Daphnia pulex: one gene and its partner. The protein of the gene in region 1 purifies or fractionates together with the protein of each later gene. This does not show direct contact. Links are inferred from orthologs where the notes say so. Each region holds a gene or a part of one and is shown on either strand. Other genes may lie near its edges.

Region 1 (8,033 bases):
GTCTTTTGTTCTCAACTCTCATCCGCAAGATAGAAAGTTGGCCTCAAGCTAACCTAACCATTCCAACCCCCCTCCCTTATTCTTCTCCTATAAATTTTCAGACGCTGCAATCCCCTGCCATGAAAAAGAAATCAGAAAAAATACAAGATTAATGCAATTTCGTCCACAGCCTCGATAACCTGCATTTTTCTACCTCGTTGATTATATACCTTCCCAATTTTTCTGTGGCACACGGAATTTCGCCTGAGCCAAATATTTCGAGATGCTCAAAAATGTATTGCCCATAATTTTCCCTACATGTGTCGATTCTAAAGACGATGTCAAACTCAATAACGGGATGTTAAGGAGGGTATTTGCTTTATAACCCTGAAATTCAAAGGTTGTACCGTATGTCCATAGCAGATTTCGGCCTTTTGTGTTTCAAATAGGAAATGGTTTGCATGTATATAAAGGGCATATTCTTCTTTTTCTTTTTTTTACAGTTTGATTCTTTTGAAAGTTTTGTCAATAGGGCATTTCCTGGTGGAAGACATTTCGAGACATGAATTGTCATCGATGAATTTTAGAATTTAGCGGGACCGACGAACCAGGAACTCCCAAATCTGTATTCTTTTCGTTTCCGCTACGTTTTTGAACTTCCTACATTTATATATCTGGCGAAGAGTAGTTTTTCCACCGTTTGCAGTGACCCGTTTCTTGGCCTCTTCCCTCCCTACCTTTTCTGACGGCTTCCTTTTGACATTGAGGTCATCGGCGGATAGACGTGACCTCCCATTCCAATGACGTACGGAGGAAGAAATTGAGGCATGATTCTTTTCAATAGCTCACTAACTTGCGTTGAATGTCGCCCCACTTGGTTGACGTTTCCCGACGCATCACGCAATCTTGTCGTTTGTTTCTGGCATTCCGCTATGTCGGTTCAGATCCGCTAGTATCAGAGCTTAAATATTCCTATTTCTCAGCTATGCTATGATACGTAGTACATTAATTGTTTTAAAAATTGTTAGGTCTTTGAATGGAGGCGGTTGATTGACCCCGCAATCGGCAGATGATTATTTTTCTAGTAGTGACACTTTTGCAGGTCAAACATCGAAAAGGCGGTTTTTAGAGCCAATGGCGTGTTTAAGCGGTTTTCAGGATGTAGAAATTAGAAAGCCAGCAACGTCATGAAGTTACACACATTACCTTCTCCTTCTTGGTACTGGGTTACCGTAGTCGTAATAGATTTTGCAAGGAGAGGTGAAGCAGCCAGAAGGAGCCACAGCCAGAAGAACGTAATCATCTTGGTGCAGACTCTTTTGTACACTATGCAGAATAAAAATATAGTCACAAAGTTGAATGAACGCCTTTGAATGGCGCGTATACAAATGAAATGAAATCCCAGTTTGATTACGAGAAACCGGGTATTACACTAACAAAAACAGATGGGTGAATAACCTTATCACCACCTGTTGTTGTTGTTGTACCATGTTTGTGAATCTCTCCGGTGGTCTATCGTATTTCGCTGCCTTATGACAAAACGACTTACTCATATAAATCTGGGCTGTCACTTTTGAAAATGCTTGGCAGCAAATGGCTTGACCCATCCAGTAAAAATCAAAATGGGGGAAAATACTACGTAGTACTACAAACAAACTCACCTAAGTTGGCCGCATTCCCTTCTTAGAGTTGACACTATTAGGTAATGAGCCAATAGGTAAATCTCTTTTGTGATTTGTTGTTCTTTCTCGATTCGGCGAATGCGTTGAGTGAGAGGCCAACAAATTGACTCCGTTTCTTTTTTCAATCTTCTCGCAGAACAAGTTGCACAAGTCTAGAGGATTTGACGAGAATCCGATATGGTGAAAGATTTCCCACCGAGGACGGCTGGAGGAAAAAAAATCGTCGACAACCGTTAGATCTCAGCGCGATGGGACGTTCACCTCGGAAAGATTTTTCTCTGGCTAGTTTAATTGTTTTGGTTGGCTTGTCTGTGAGGCGTGTATAGGCAAGGCAGGTATAGCATGTGTATTGCCTCTTCACTTCCGCCTTCTGTTTTCTTAAACCGGATCACTTCTTCGGTCATCCAGCTGTAATGATAGCTGATGCCCTATCCTGTACTTTTACTACTTCCCCACTGCAGAATGCCAATTGATGCAAGACAGGTTGCGATGGCGCCAATGACTCGTCGTTCGTCTAGTGCTGGAAGACCAAATTATCCAGCCGGAAAGCAACAAGCAACACTACACGAAGTAACAGACACTTAACAGATTGTTTCGAGTGTGGTAAATAGAATAAGAACACGGATTGGGGGGAAAAAGGAACGCCAACTGAAACAATTTAATAATAAATAAAAGGACGACTACACAGCGAGTCTGTTGTCGACCAACGCTACCAACTGACTGAGCTTTTCCACCTGGCTCAAGGGGGGTAACACCATACCAGTTGCTCATTTCTCCCACTGGCGATGGAAAAACAAGTGGAAGGAAGAGCTCGATAGCAGCGCATACACAGACAAAATACCTTTCTATAGCTTTTTTCAGCCTTGCTGTATATGAGTGCTGAAAACACGTTGAATGTGGCTCTCGTCAGCCTTGAGGGCTGCGTCTCGCAGGAACGGATTCGCACTCTACTTAAACTGTTTAGAAGCATCGCCTCATTAGTAAAACGCATCTTAAAAATACCGAAAATACACGTGAGACTGCAAGCAGTACATTGAACTATCAGTGAAACACACAACTAAAAGTTGCAGCAGAAATTATAGAATTTTAGCAAGGTCTTAAATATAATGGGTTGTTGTAAAATGTGACCTTTAAACTGCGTAATATGCTTTAACCAGAGATGGCTTTAACAACATTCCTACTATGTTACATTTTTCGGTTTAAGCAACCGTAGTGTGTGGAAGGCAATGTGAAGGTATATTAAAAATTTGAAAACCGCTGCTTGAACCAGAAAACTTATAGGGGTGCGTAACACGTGAAAACGCTGTTGAAAAATGGAAAACAATGAACAGTCTAGTTATGGTGAATGATCTTTCTGCGGTCGAGATTACTAGAGTTATCATAAGTTATTTTACACATTAATTGGTTTATTTTCCTAGCCTTAGCTATTCTTATCTAGCGACTAGTGTATTATTATTTAAAAAAAGGCCAATGGGTGTCCGCCTTTGGGATTTTGTTGCTGCACCAATAGACAGTTGGGTGATTGCCCTTGTATCGTTGTTATCCAAAAATGTTGAAACCGGATTTTTCTTAATCCAACCCGATTGTGACTTTAACCCAAAATATTCAGAAATGATTGATATGATTGTCATCGGTATTTTGACTAAACTATTCTTGGAAAGACAAGAGAAAAAAAAAGCACTCGTTAAAATGAATTAAAAATTAAATTAAAAACAGGAAACCAATGATAGAGATCTACAGTCCTACAGTTCATTTTCATCTCACGATCAATGACACATAAAATTGTATCCAAGTTGCCTTGTTCATTTTTATTTGCATTATCTTAGCGACCGATCTCGGCTTCAGCTGAATCCGATCGGTAGGCATACAACTACAACGTTCACACGTCCTCCTCAGACTGACCACACCAACCTCAATTACAGCGACCAGGTGCTCCGCAGTCGGCAGTCGTCGAATTCACATTTCTGTTATAAAACGTTAAAATTCGCAGAACGAGAGAAAACTGAAATGGATGTATAATAACAAGAACACTATAATTAATAAAAATTTAAAGTAGATGTGGGGAATGAAAACCCATGGTGATGCGTGATGCTGACGATAACATAACGAAGGCCGTTAGGCCCCATCATCTTGCAAGCGCGAACACCAACAATTCCGTATTGTTCGACATATCTAGAATACTAAAAAACAATTAAATGATTATATATGAAAAAATCTACGTATGATTTAGGTTTATATGCTTGTATGCTGTAGAGTTACCGATGATATCTAACATCGTATACAACTATACATTCTTTAATAAACAATCAGACAAAGTAATGATTTAAATATGTGTGTCTTTTCCTCGCTAGATGAAGCAAAATTCCCCTTCAGGGTTAAATCAACCCCCCGGTTAACCCTGCAAAAGGGAGTTTCACGGCCATGTGATATTTTAATATGGCATCGTTGTTTAAGTCATCCTCATGCTGTAAACCTGTAAACAAAAAACTTTTTACATCTGAGTTCTGATGTTCTTAAGTTGTTACTAAGCTTCAGAAATTTTCTCGAGTTTCCTCTTATGTCCATTCGTTTTATTCGCTAAAATGTTACCTCAAATGATGGATTTATCATCAAATGATAATTTTACTCCAAGAGATTTTGAGGTTTGTATAGGATTTCCATACTATTGTTAGACTTATTCTTTAACAAATTTATATTTGATTGCCATGTTTAGTTAAGAAATATTGTTTATACATTTTTTTAGGTTGAACTTTTTGAATCTGCAAAAGTTAAAAATACTATTGCATGTTTAAAAGCTGACTTGGGTAAGATGTTCATTGCTGTAATGTTAATTCGAGAAAAAGCTTTTGAAGTGTGCAAGTAAGTTATGAAGTGATGTAAAATTTTAACTCATTAATTTACTTACTGTTTTAATTAGTTCTCTGCTCTTACCCAAGGGAGGTTTTTGCTCAGTTTACCTTACCCCAACAATCAAATTGGCACTTCAGCGTTCAGCTTACTTGCGCCATCACACTCCATTGAAAGTAGGAATTTTTCATGAGAAAAAAGGTGTATTGCAGTGGAGTTCTGAAAGGTAAATTTTTATAGAAGTATTTTATGGATAAAATTAACTGTAAAACACTTAATATGTATTATTCAAGATGGACAGAGGAGTTGGGGAAAAGTCAGGTGCTTGTCATGACATATTCCATATTTCTAGAAGTCATCCACAAAAACTTTCTCAAAATGAACAAGCTTAATTTGTTGATATTGGATGACTGCCATAATGTTATGAACAATGAAGCTTTAAAAGGAGTTTTAACTCTCTATGAAAATGCAGCAAGTAGTGTACATCCAAGAATCCTTGGATTAACTGCATCTATTGTAAATAACATATGCAAGCCGATGGAACTGTCTCAGTTGATAACTATTCTGGAAACAAAATTAAAATCGGTTATTTCGACTTCCAACAACGTTTTGTCAGCCTTGCAGTAAGTATATGGTGATTAATTCATTTAGTGTGGGCATGATGAAGTCCAATATGCTATCTGCTTGCTGACTACTTTTGTGGAAAATTAACTCTTCTAATGTTTTATTTAATCTAGGCATTCAACTCGACCCAAAGAATTGATATGTGAAATATCGTCCAAGTATGAAGCCACAGAGCTGCAGCAAGAAATAATGGGTCGTATTCTTTTATTGAATGATTATCTGCGAGATCATCGATATGATCCCGCTGAGTACTATGGGGAACAAGATTATCTAAAAGAGATTCCTAATCCATGTCATGAACCTCTTGATCTACTTGAAGAATACATCCAAATCATTCAAAATTTTGGTGAATAATCACAAATATTTTTATAAGTTTTTTTATTTATTTTTAGAAGTTTACGTTAGACGATTTTAAAAATTAATACAATATAATTGACCTAGGTCCTTGGGGAGCAGACCGTGCTGCTTTGGTATACCTCATTCATTTAGAAAAATTGAAAACGAAAGCAGTTTATGAAAGACACTATCTTCTATTATGCCTTGTCTTCACTGTTTTACTTGAAATAAGGTTTGCGCTTTTAAAGTACACATTTCAACGTACTTTGTATACATGATATATATATATTTACTTTCTAGATCATTGTGCGAAGAAGAGTTTCAGAAATACTCTGAATATGAACGTATCGTGAAGTTTAGCCATCCCAAGGTTCTTCGCCTGTTGGACATTCTTCGGATCTACCGACCGCCGATACCTTCCGTGCTGCCCACAAGTGCTGAATTAGTAGAAGTAAGCGATTCTTTAGTTTCGTCCGAAGGGCAAACTGTTCAGACCCCAAAGTTGGCAACCGAAACGTCGCAAACCGCAGAATTAATTGAAAACGGTCCAGCGATTTTGCGTCAATCGACAACTCAACCAGGACACACTAGTCGACGGCGGCGTCCTGATTTCTCAAATCGCCATCACCGAAATCGAGAAGATGCTTACCAGCTCTGTGGGATGATTTTCACTGAAAGACGTACTACAGCAAAATTACTCTACCATCTTTTAAAGGTTCCACAACGACAAAATTCTCGTATTGCTATGTAATATTTAATGCCGAATATTCATTTACATTTTTTTATAGGATGCAAGTCGTTGTGATCCACAACTAGCTTATCTAAGCCCGTTGTATACGGTTGACCGAATGGAAGGCGTGAGTGTCAAAGAAATGGAGAATGAAGAAAGAAAGCAAGAAGACGTCATGAAACGATTTCGTAGTCGTGATTGTAACATTCTTGTAGCCACTAGCGTATTAGAGGATGGAATTGACGTTCCGGCATGTCATCTGGTTATTCGTTACGATTTACCACAATCCTACCGGGCTTACGTTCACTCAAAAGCTCGAGCTCGCGCTAAAAAAGCACATTACATCCTCATGGTCGAAAATGAGCGCATGGATGAGTTTTTAGTGGATTTATCTCACTTTCATGCAACAGAACAAATTCTGTTAAGTAAAAGCGGGTATCACAATTCGGTTGCTGAGTTTTTCAACCACAACGAAGATATGCTTAATTGCATTCAGGCTCCCTACCCTTCTGATGAAACTTCTAATTCGTATGCATCTTTGCAAAACGCGATTTCTATAATTAACAGGTATCACATACTTTTTTAATTCTGTAAAACTAGGTTTCATGAAAAATTTCTGTTGTAGATATTGCGCAAAGTTGCCTAGCGATTGTTTCACACGCTTAACCCCTGTGTGGAGGATACGTACCATAAAACGAGAATTAATTGAACCATCTGTTTTGGATAAATGGATTGGACTATTTAAAAATAGTGGTGCAACAGAAAACGTTTTCTTGGACGTAGCATACATATGCTCGTTGCAGTTACCAATTAATTCTCCTCTGCGAAAGACTGTATTAAGTCAACCTATGCCATCAAAAGTAACGGCCAAACGATCTGCGGCACTAGAAGCATGTCGGTTATTGCACCAAAAGAAAGAGTTGGACGATCATTTCTATCCAACGGGGAAGGAAAACCTTCGGCTTGAAGAGGAAGAGGATTACAATGCCGATTTGGAAGAAGAAAATGTACCAGAAAACTTACCACGCCCAGGCACTACCAAGCGAAGACAGTACTATTATAAACAAGTAGCTGATCCGTTTATTAACGGTATTCCACGTCCTGATCAGCCTTGCTATTTGTACGCGATCACAATGGTATTCGTATTAGTATGTCAAAAATTACTGTAATAATAGTTGATATTTTTTGTTAGGTATTGAGTGAGCCTATACCTGAGGAGCAAAACACGCGTGGAAGAAAAATTTACAAACCCGAGACTTCTATTCAAAGTCTGGGAATTTTAAACAGCAAACCTCTTTCTCAAATCTGTCCGTTCCCTATTTTCACTCGCTCAGGCGAGGTGGAAGTGGAAATTGTAAAAATTTCTGATGCCATCCGAGTGACCGAAGGGCAGTTGAAACAAATTTCTGATTTTCAACGCTACATTTTTCGAAACGTACTTTCCTTGGAAAAGGATCCTATGTTGTTAGATGTATACAACGCCGACTGTTCTTATCTAATCGTTCCTTTAAGACGAAGTTCATTCTCGGAACACTCTAAATTAAGCTTGGATTTTGTATTCATCGATTTAATTTCGTCCGTTCGAGATTCGAAGCCCCAATTGATAGCCGAAGAAGTCAGATCTGGATATGTCTTTGACCCTCGATTGTTCTCTGATGCTGTCGTAATGAAATGGTATCGTGATCAAGAACACCCACAATGTTTCTATGTGGCCGAGATATTCTACGAACTTAACCCTCAATCTAAGTTCCCTGATAACAACTATCCAACATTTGAAAAATACTATCGCCACAAGTATGGAATCCAAATTCAGAATCTGAAGCAGCCACTGTTAG
Region 2 (8,085 bases), on another chromosome or scaffold:
TATTACCTGTCGTGCTCCTTCTCCACTAAGTGGTATCTGGCACGGAAAGCCACCAGATGGGCGTAGTAAGCCGGCGCCGGAATGGAGACGGAACGAGTACAGCGCACATAAGTATGACAAAGCTGGTAAGTTAAGCACTGCAATTCGTCAGCGTCAAAGTGGTTGTCATCCCACAAAACGTGATAGTGGCTAGGACGGCTAGTACCCTGTACATAAAGAAAAATACATTAAATATCAAACCACTGAATAAATATTAAGGAAATAAATTGTCTCACCTGAATGCCTTGATGCGAGCACAAGTAAAAGTCGAACTCGGTTGGGTGTGTAATGCCCGCGTCGACAGTGGTACCGGCGGGAATGTTTCCAGATTTGCCAGATTGCTCTTTCTTGTCAGCACAGAAGAGCCTGGTGTGATGGCGCTTCTGAACCACGATGAACGTGATACCTGGTTTGTAGTCAGGTTCCAATTTTATGCATGCCTCGCGGATAGCGGTCAACTCATGTTGCAAAACCTACAGAAAACGTGTCGTTTATTCGAACGTATTTCTTTTTTAGAAAGCCAAAGTTAGTTTAGTCTAGTAGAATGTTGCTTACGGTGCTAAACTGGCCTTCACTGGCGCCATCGCGATACATGATAATTCGGTTGGGTTTGAACCTTGTAGTTTTGTAGAACAAGATCAATAATTCCCTGGGAAAAAAAAGGAAAGTTCATCAGCCTCAAAAACACATGAAACTCAATATGCGGATTATCAAAATGTCAAATTTCTTACCGGACCATAGCACTGAGCTCTTGAATAACTTCTTGGCGGTGTTGTTGGACGCGAACAGTTGCAGCGTATCTCGAAGGATGAGCATCCATCGAGCCCACAACGGCTGCGATCGACGGCTTTTTGTTGTCACCAGCTGGAGGATGAGTTATATCGGCCCCAAGGAAAATGACAGGCTCATTGAACACCTAAGAAAACAACACACATGAGCATTTTCGTGTGAAAAGTAGTTGATTTACGTTTTACCTTAGGACGAATGGTAGGAACAAGGATACTGTTAACACCACCAAGTTTAACGTTGATCTTCAGACACAAATTGGACAGAGTTTGAGGCGATGTTTTGTTGACATTCTTTGCTTGTACGCACTGTGTGGCCATGCCAAGTACAGTATCGCCAACACGTTTGACTTCGGCTATTGGAATAATCAAATTAAAAACCTTCATTATTGTCGATGTCGACACAAGTAGAATGTGTAAATGATAGTACCGTAAACAGGAGTTTTGCCCGGTAGAACGACACACACCAACTGGAGACCTTGGAAGGTTGACTTGAGGTAGCGGAACATAGGCTCCACTTGATCGGGGCCAGTGGCATATTTGCAGAAACAAGGTTGGCCTAAACAATATTCAATTTAATGACAACCCATTCTCATAATCCACAATTATTTCGTTATTACCAATGATGGGCATCCCGGCGTCATTACTTATCTTCTGCAATTGCTGTGTGAAATTTCTTAGCGCATCTTCGCGAACTGTTCTTTGGGGTGCAAAGCAAGCGATTGCCCAAACGCGAATCTCCACTCCGGTGAAGAATTGCTTGCCACGCATATCCCAGACACCTTGATTAGGTAGCGCCTGTTGCTTAGTCCTTCCCCCATATTGCAGTTTTGGTGGCGGAAGCACACGACCGCGCACTTCCATCATGCTGCAAAACAAAGTCGAAGTTACATTTTTAATATGTCACTCGTAAAGAATTGCAAATCAATAACTGACCTATTGGAAATGGTCAATCCAAACTCCTGAACGTAGGGATCGTTATTGAAGTCGGCCTTTCGAATAAGATTATTGATCTCACGCTCACGGTCGGGAGCCGATCGGGCAGTGGCTTTGATCATGGTCGATGTCTGCATATCAGTCAGTTTCTTTATGCATCGTTGCCCGGCTACAATGTTGCAAACTTCCAGCGGCAAATAGGTGTGCTTGTGCTCTTGTCCAACCTGCAGGAGAAAAAAATTGATTAAGAGATGTAGGGGGATATGACCAAATTAGAACCAACCTGCAGGCAAGGCAGATGCGGGTAGCGCAATTTCATTTTGTATTTGTCCAGGAAATATTTGGCCACTGTACACTCGACAGTTTGACCGTTCTCCAACTGCAGTGGGAAAGACTGCATTTGAGCTGGACGGCGAGTAACGTTGCATACACGATATTTTCGTCGCATTGTTCCACAGTGGGTAATTTCAATTTTTAAGCCTATGGGGATTCAGAAATAGGAACGTTAATCAAGATGCACAAGAACAGGGATGAGGCGACAACCCACCAGCGAACCCACCTTTGATCTCTTTGGTAAATTTTACTCGCTGAGAATCCGTTAAAGGTTTTCTCTGCTCGTTAACATCGCGAATGTCTAACACTTCGCACATAAATTCGATCACTGGTTGCGACTTGTAAAATGCCGTCGCCGAGACGTCAATGTTTAGCATCATTTTCCATTGTGAAGGGCGGACAGATTGATGAAAACCAAACCAAACCTCACGTCCACCACCTAACGGATGATAATAACCATCAGGTGATGAAAAGAAACTCCGACCCACTGGAGTATAAGTCATTGAAGGTAAATGGCGCATAACCACGTCGAGAGCCAAAATGGCATCCATCGGAATTGTACGAATGCGACCTAAGAGGAGAAACATATTAAAATTGCGCTAAAGGTAATCGGCAGTTGTAATAAACATACCTTCCAAAGCTTCTTCGAGAGCGTAGAGGGATACTTTGGCCAACCATTTGATAGCTACATGGAAAACACGATCTTTTCCCTCTCCGGGCAGGGTAACGTCTAATTCGACTCTTTCATTGCCGATCGGCAGAGGATCTCGGGTATACAAGTTGCTTCGACCATCGAAAACGGGTTTTAATGCTCCAAATATTTTGCTGTAGGCATGCACCATCGTCTCGATAATCTCCCTGTAAGTTTGTATGACGAATGGTAAACAAAGCGAAATCCAAGACGATTTTAAAGATGAATTATTCTCTCACCGATTGACTTTTCTCGGGCACTTGTCTGGTTGAATGCTGATATCATAGTGGTGAATGTATCCTCGTGGCATAGATATTTGAAAATGATTTGCTCTTAGCATGATAGGTCTACCCTCACGACCAAGATTTGGACGACGTGGACAAACAAACATAGGAAGTTCTGGTGCCGCAGCTTGCGGCGCGGCCGAAGCCATAGGTGGGGGCTGTTGAGTTGGTGGCATCATAGGTGGAACCGGGGCCATAGGGGCCATGGGAGTCATTAATGCAGTTCCGCCTCCACTTCCACCACTCACTCCACTCAAACTTGTTCCACAATTACTACTGGTACTGCTGCTACTACTGTTACTTCCACTTCCCACTCCGATACTGGATACAATTGACTGGGCTCCAACACCTGAAGGGCCAAGTGCTCCTGCTGCAAATAGAAATAAACAAACGGGAGTTAGTACATCTGTTTCGAACAATAAAAACAAACAACAAGATACAACAGCAACAAAGAAGTCTTTAACCGGCAATATCAATGGAATTCATCTTCAGTTTGCACGAGAATAATGTTACTGCGCTGAAGAACTATGGTGCATAATGTGAAAGACTAAAGATCTTTAGCCAAACTTACAAGTGTACTAACGTTCAATGTTCGTTTCTACGCAAACAAACGTTTCTTAATCTTAATTAAGTGTAAACGTAGAGGGAATCGAATGAAAAGTATAAATGACGCCAGCACGCCCCTGTTCCTTCACTTTACTTATCATTACCCCAGACGACCGTATACGGAAGGAAAAGCAAACTCAAGGTCTTTTAAAAACTACTTCTCTGTTCTAGTGAATGTATGAAAATATCACTGAGTGGTAAGAGCTTTTAATAGAATAACAGATGAGAAACACTGTAGGGCGGGGGTCGAAACAATTTGCAGAATCGAGGGCAACTTACGCTGTCCAACAGGGTACATAATACGTCAACACGATTCCACATCGACAAGTTTGGCGCTGTTAAAAAAATCGAAGGCTTTCGAGAGAGCAAAATTGGTGTAGAATAACAAATTCCAGAATGGATGGATGGAGTAACGAATTATTTAAATGAAACACCAAATGAAACGAGGCACACAACGACGCACGGAAGTTGTGGCACACAAAACCCCACAAAGGCCGTCCGTTTCCCTTCCTTCGTTTTATCCAAGATGGCGGCGCGACCAGACGCAAGGGAAAAATCCCTCCCAACAACTTGCAACGTCGTTTTGAAAAGTCCACATTTAAATTTTTATTTCTGTCATTATCAAATAGTTTGTCGCAATTGACAACTTGATTAAAAATTAGTTTAGTTATTCTATTTTATTATTTCAGGGTTTCATCTAATTTAAATGTGAATTTCGAGGCACGGTTTTTGTTTAGTAACTTGGGCTGTAGCAAATGGAGGGAGGTCAAAATCCAGGGGAATCCACAACTTTCACAACACAATTTTTTTTTTTTTTTTGTAATTTCTATCTAATTTCTCACGCTAGTTTTCCTGAAAGTTAGTGTAGTGTCATCGAGTGCCCGATGTTGTTGTCATTGTTGTGATTCGAACAAAAAAACTTACACTCCCAATTCATCTGTCAAAACACGACAATGTTTGCAATTGCTTCGAATTCTATTGGTGCTGTCATCATCCGGACAGTGTTGTTCGCCAAATTGGTAACATCGCTGTCAACCACCACTAATCGGAGCCATTTGACAGGTAAACAAACCCGAGTTGAAATGCGAGAAAAGAAGGGGGAGAATAGTAAAAGAGATTGAAAACTTACTGCCATTGACATATTTATCCATAAGAATATGAGTAGTGTTGAGAGTACAAGCGACCCCCATTTTGCTCAACTAAGACGCACAAGTCGACTACCCTCCTACTGTGTGTGGGGAAACAGAATGTGTTGTGTCGTGTGTGCGATTCGTGTAATGCGCAGTACAATGCCGAAAAATCGCACGCACGGCGACGACGACTGGGGCGATAGGCAACAAACCGCTGGTTTTGAGATATCAGCCCTTCACAATCTCATGTGTGGAGAAACGAGAAAAAACAAACAACACGCGCACTAAATAATGAGCGACTGAAAAAGCAGTTTTTGGAGGTTTCCTGCACGTCGATTGACAGGCGGAGAACGCACTTGGGCTACGACCACGCAGTGTCGAGTCGGCCTAGAGACAATTCTTCTTCTTCTTTCACCAACTGTTGTGTGCAGAGAAGAAAGGAGGGGGAAAACCTCTTTGACCCCTCTGGTTTTTTTATTTTCTTTTATTATTATTATTATTTCGCCCCCTCTTTCTCTTTTTTGGGGTACGTCTACAGACTTAACCCGGTTCTTCCACCACCACCCTACCCGCAAGCCAATGAAAGATATATCCACCTCCCATTAGAGAAGTATTTCCCCCTCCTTTCTCTTAAGATAAAACGCAAATCCCTAGAGATGGAAAAAAGTAATAACCATGAAATTCTTGTTTAATGACGTTTGACATTGAATTTTTCGTAGTTTGTTCGTAATGAAGTCCTCAGGGTCAGCCGTGAAATATATTTAGCAAACGTCGATTTCATTTTGACGCGTCATTTGTGTGTCAAAGATGCAACACATGGTTGCTTACCAAGACGGTGCGTAGTTGGTCCTGATTCGTCCCGTCGGCGTCGGTTCGAAGCGACACCTATTTTCAAGTTTCAAAGCTCACATTGAATCGTCTTGCGGTTTTAGACTTGAACGTCAGATGGCGTTGAGTTTTCCTTCTCCAAATCAAATATCGATTTTTCCGCGTTTTTTTATTTTAAAAATGAAAATTTACTTTTATAAACTCGATTTTCATTCTTAGAAGCGCGTTTGGTGTCTTAGAAGTCTGCGTAACTTTATTATGTTGCTAGGTTATTCTAATAGAATTGGTTTCGCTAAAGACATGTCATGAAAGTCTTTGTTGTTGGCCAACTTAGTAATGAGATAAGGTAGTAGTAGTAGGTTATGGACTCGCTGAATCCCGACAAATAGTTTATCAGACCTGTAATGCCGCAAAACTTTCCCCCGCGGGAAAATGTTATTAAGCGACTCGGTTGAGGAGGAATAGGACGCGAAAATTGAATCAATGGAAATATAGTGGCTTCAGGCCAAGATATTTTTCGTTCATACAAGAGTTCGTTTCGTATAGCTTGTTATCGTGCGTACAAAACCGGGTTCCCTTTTCTCCTTTTTTTCAAAGGTTTTCATCTGGATTACTTTTTTGGCATAGATTTGCCATAGGAACAACGTCATGGGGCTTGCAAGAACTTTTATAGATAGGGCGGTGGGCATACCAAAAGCGGCCACATGACATGGTGAATAACATCGGCAAGATGACAGCCAAGTTTCCAGCGATCATACATGTGTGAACGCAGTCGAGAGAGAAGATTTGGGGCGATGGGGGGGCCTATAAGACGTGTGGGCGAGATGCACAACCGGAAGTAGCTGGATCAATACGCCCACCCCGACTTAAATAACAAATTGCCATATTGTTTTCGCTGCTGTTTTAATTCTCTCATTCATCATTATATACACAGATGGTGCAATGCGTTGCTACAGTTGCACTTCTACCGAAGAGGGTAGCCAATGCCAGACGAACCCCTCCACCTTACCTCATGGAATATTAGATGGCTGCACGCGGGAAGCTTGCACGATCGTGAGAGTAGAACAATGGCCATCTCAGCGTGTCAAGTATGTATGAATCGATATGTCTCCATCTGAGACAACATGTTTTGCGAAGATTTACAGAGAAAAAAGAAATAATCCGGAAAACTGTTTAGGAGTTTCTATCGTGGATGTGACGGGCGGACCAAAGTATTTGAGCAGAACAAATGCCAAATCGAAAAGGATGAAAGGACGTGCTTTACGGCTTGCGTGGGCGATTTATGCAACCACGGAAACGGCTTGGTCGACCACATTGTTCATTCAGGATCGATCCTTACCGGATCCAAAGCTGACGGCTGGGTCTTAACGGTGACAACCGCTGTTCTCCTCGTTTTCTCCGCTATATTATTATCCGGTAACGCCTAGTTTCGGCCCGCAGCCTCACGCCATTCACGAACTAATCAATACACACATACTATGTACATACTCTGTTGATATATTGCGCTATTGCATCACATTCTCGTGTGGTAGAATCGGTGATGATGAAGACTTGGCTGCTAGCCCGATTAGGTGTGGCACTCTTGTCCCGGGCTCTGTAATCAGAAATGAATTAAACAACTTCAGTAAAAAGATTTCCAATATCCGTTTTTTCCCTCTTTGTAGAAAATCTGGGACATCACCAATGAAGATCCTGGACGAGAGCACAAAGAAGTCTAAATGGAAACACTCAATCACGTTGTGCTATGCCCAAAACAATAAAACTGAGAGTAAAGAGATTCGCCATCCATCTTTATTTGATAGATAACTGCACTTCTCATTGGTGAAAAAAAAAGAAAAACAGCCAACTCGATCTCTGTTCATTCTAAAAGGCGAATAGAATTTTAAGGATCGATACGAGCCGATCTTACTCGACGATAAATGGAACAGCTTGTTCCCGCAGTGCTGTTGAACTTTTGGCGATCCCAGTTTCTCAGACTGGAGATGACGCTGCGAAAACTTTCATTTATATACAACACAAAGGCAACAAAGGGAGTGCTGTACCCAGATGGCGATCATAAATGAAGGAATAGGAGAAAGAGTTTACTGCTTGCCAAAATAACAAACAATGCAAGGCACTTCAGACAGATTGCAAGTTGGTTCCGCGAAAGTTAAATATGAGCTTTATAATTGAATCGCAGATTGTTCCGCGGCGAAAGCAAGACGACAAGAAACGCCATGTTTATTTTTGATTCGGCAAAACGCTTGTGTAGTTTACAGGATATATTCGTGTTTATTGTTTATGAGTATACCTACTCTATTTGATATTTGATCAAAGAATCTATTATGAAGCTTGCCGTGCCAAACGTCTATTAACATTTCAAATGCTATGGCAACGTCACAGAACAGTGTGTTTGCACACGAATAACTCATTAAAAATGGTCGCTTGAAGGAATTGGCAAGCTGCTTCAAACA

Evidence for each region. The genes of interacting proteins can lie anywhere in the genome.
Region 2: the proteins of endoribonuclease Dcr-1-like (region 1) and protein argonaute-2-like purify together in Drosophila melanogaster (affinity purification with western blotting; 5 studies listed by BioGRID, with this or other methods). This does not show direct contact. The link is inferred for Daphnia pulex from reciprocal best matches to the Drosophila melanogaster genes Dcr-1 and AGO1.

What each region holds. Positions count from the first base shown.
Region 1 is NC_060018.1:8,403,829-8,411,861, reverse strand, and holds the start of endoribonuclease Dcr-1-like, read left to right. Parts: upstream 1-4,108; 5' UTR 4,109-4,243; coding exon 4,244-4,303; intron 4,304-4,404; coding exon 4,405-4,520; intron 4,521-4,578; coding exon 4,579-4,734; intron 4,735-4,801; coding exon 4,802-5,131; intron 5,132-5,245; coding exon 5,246-5,478; intron 5,479-5,573; coding exon 5,574-5,700; intron 5,701-5,768; coding exon 5,769-6,183; intron 6,184-6,256; coding exon 6,257-6,765; intron 6,766-6,823; coding exon 6,824-7,334; intron 7,335-7,390; coding exon 7,391-8,033. Other genes in the region: serine protease filzig-like, read right to left, coding at 1,186-1,282. UniProt on the Drosophila melanogaster protein: Endoribonuclease which functions in microRNA- (miRNA) gene silencing and, independently of its ribonuclease III activity, also acts in the short interfering RNA- (siRNA) gene silencing pathway.
Region 2 is NC_060022.1:5,187,115-5,195,199, forward strand, and holds the start of protein argonaute-2-like, read right to left. Parts: upstream 5,170-8,085; 5' UTR 4,865-5,169; coding exon 4,804-4,864; intron 4,737-4,803; coding exon of another isoform or gene 4,628-4,736; exon of another isoform or gene 4,605-4,627; intron 4,210-4,604; exon of another isoform or gene 3,973-4,209; coding exon of another isoform or gene 3,954-3,972; intron 3,439-3,953; coding exon 3,024-3,438; intron 2,952-3,023; coding exon 2,725-2,951; intron 2,665-2,724; coding exon 2,308-2,664; intron 2,241-2,307; coding exon 2,044-2,240; intron 1,985-2,043; coding exon 1,761-1,984; intron 1,693-1,760; coding exon 1,445-1,692; intron 1,384-1,444; coding exon 1,255-1,383; intron 1,181-1,254; coding exon 1,014-1,180; intron 956-1,013; coding exon 771-955; intron 689-770; coding exon 595-688; intron 513-594; coding exon 276-512; intron 207-275; coding exon 7-206; intron 1-6. Other genes in the region: uncharacterized protein LOC124196069, read left to right, coding at 4,628-4,736, 6,567-6,720, 6,810-7,048, 7,297-7,319.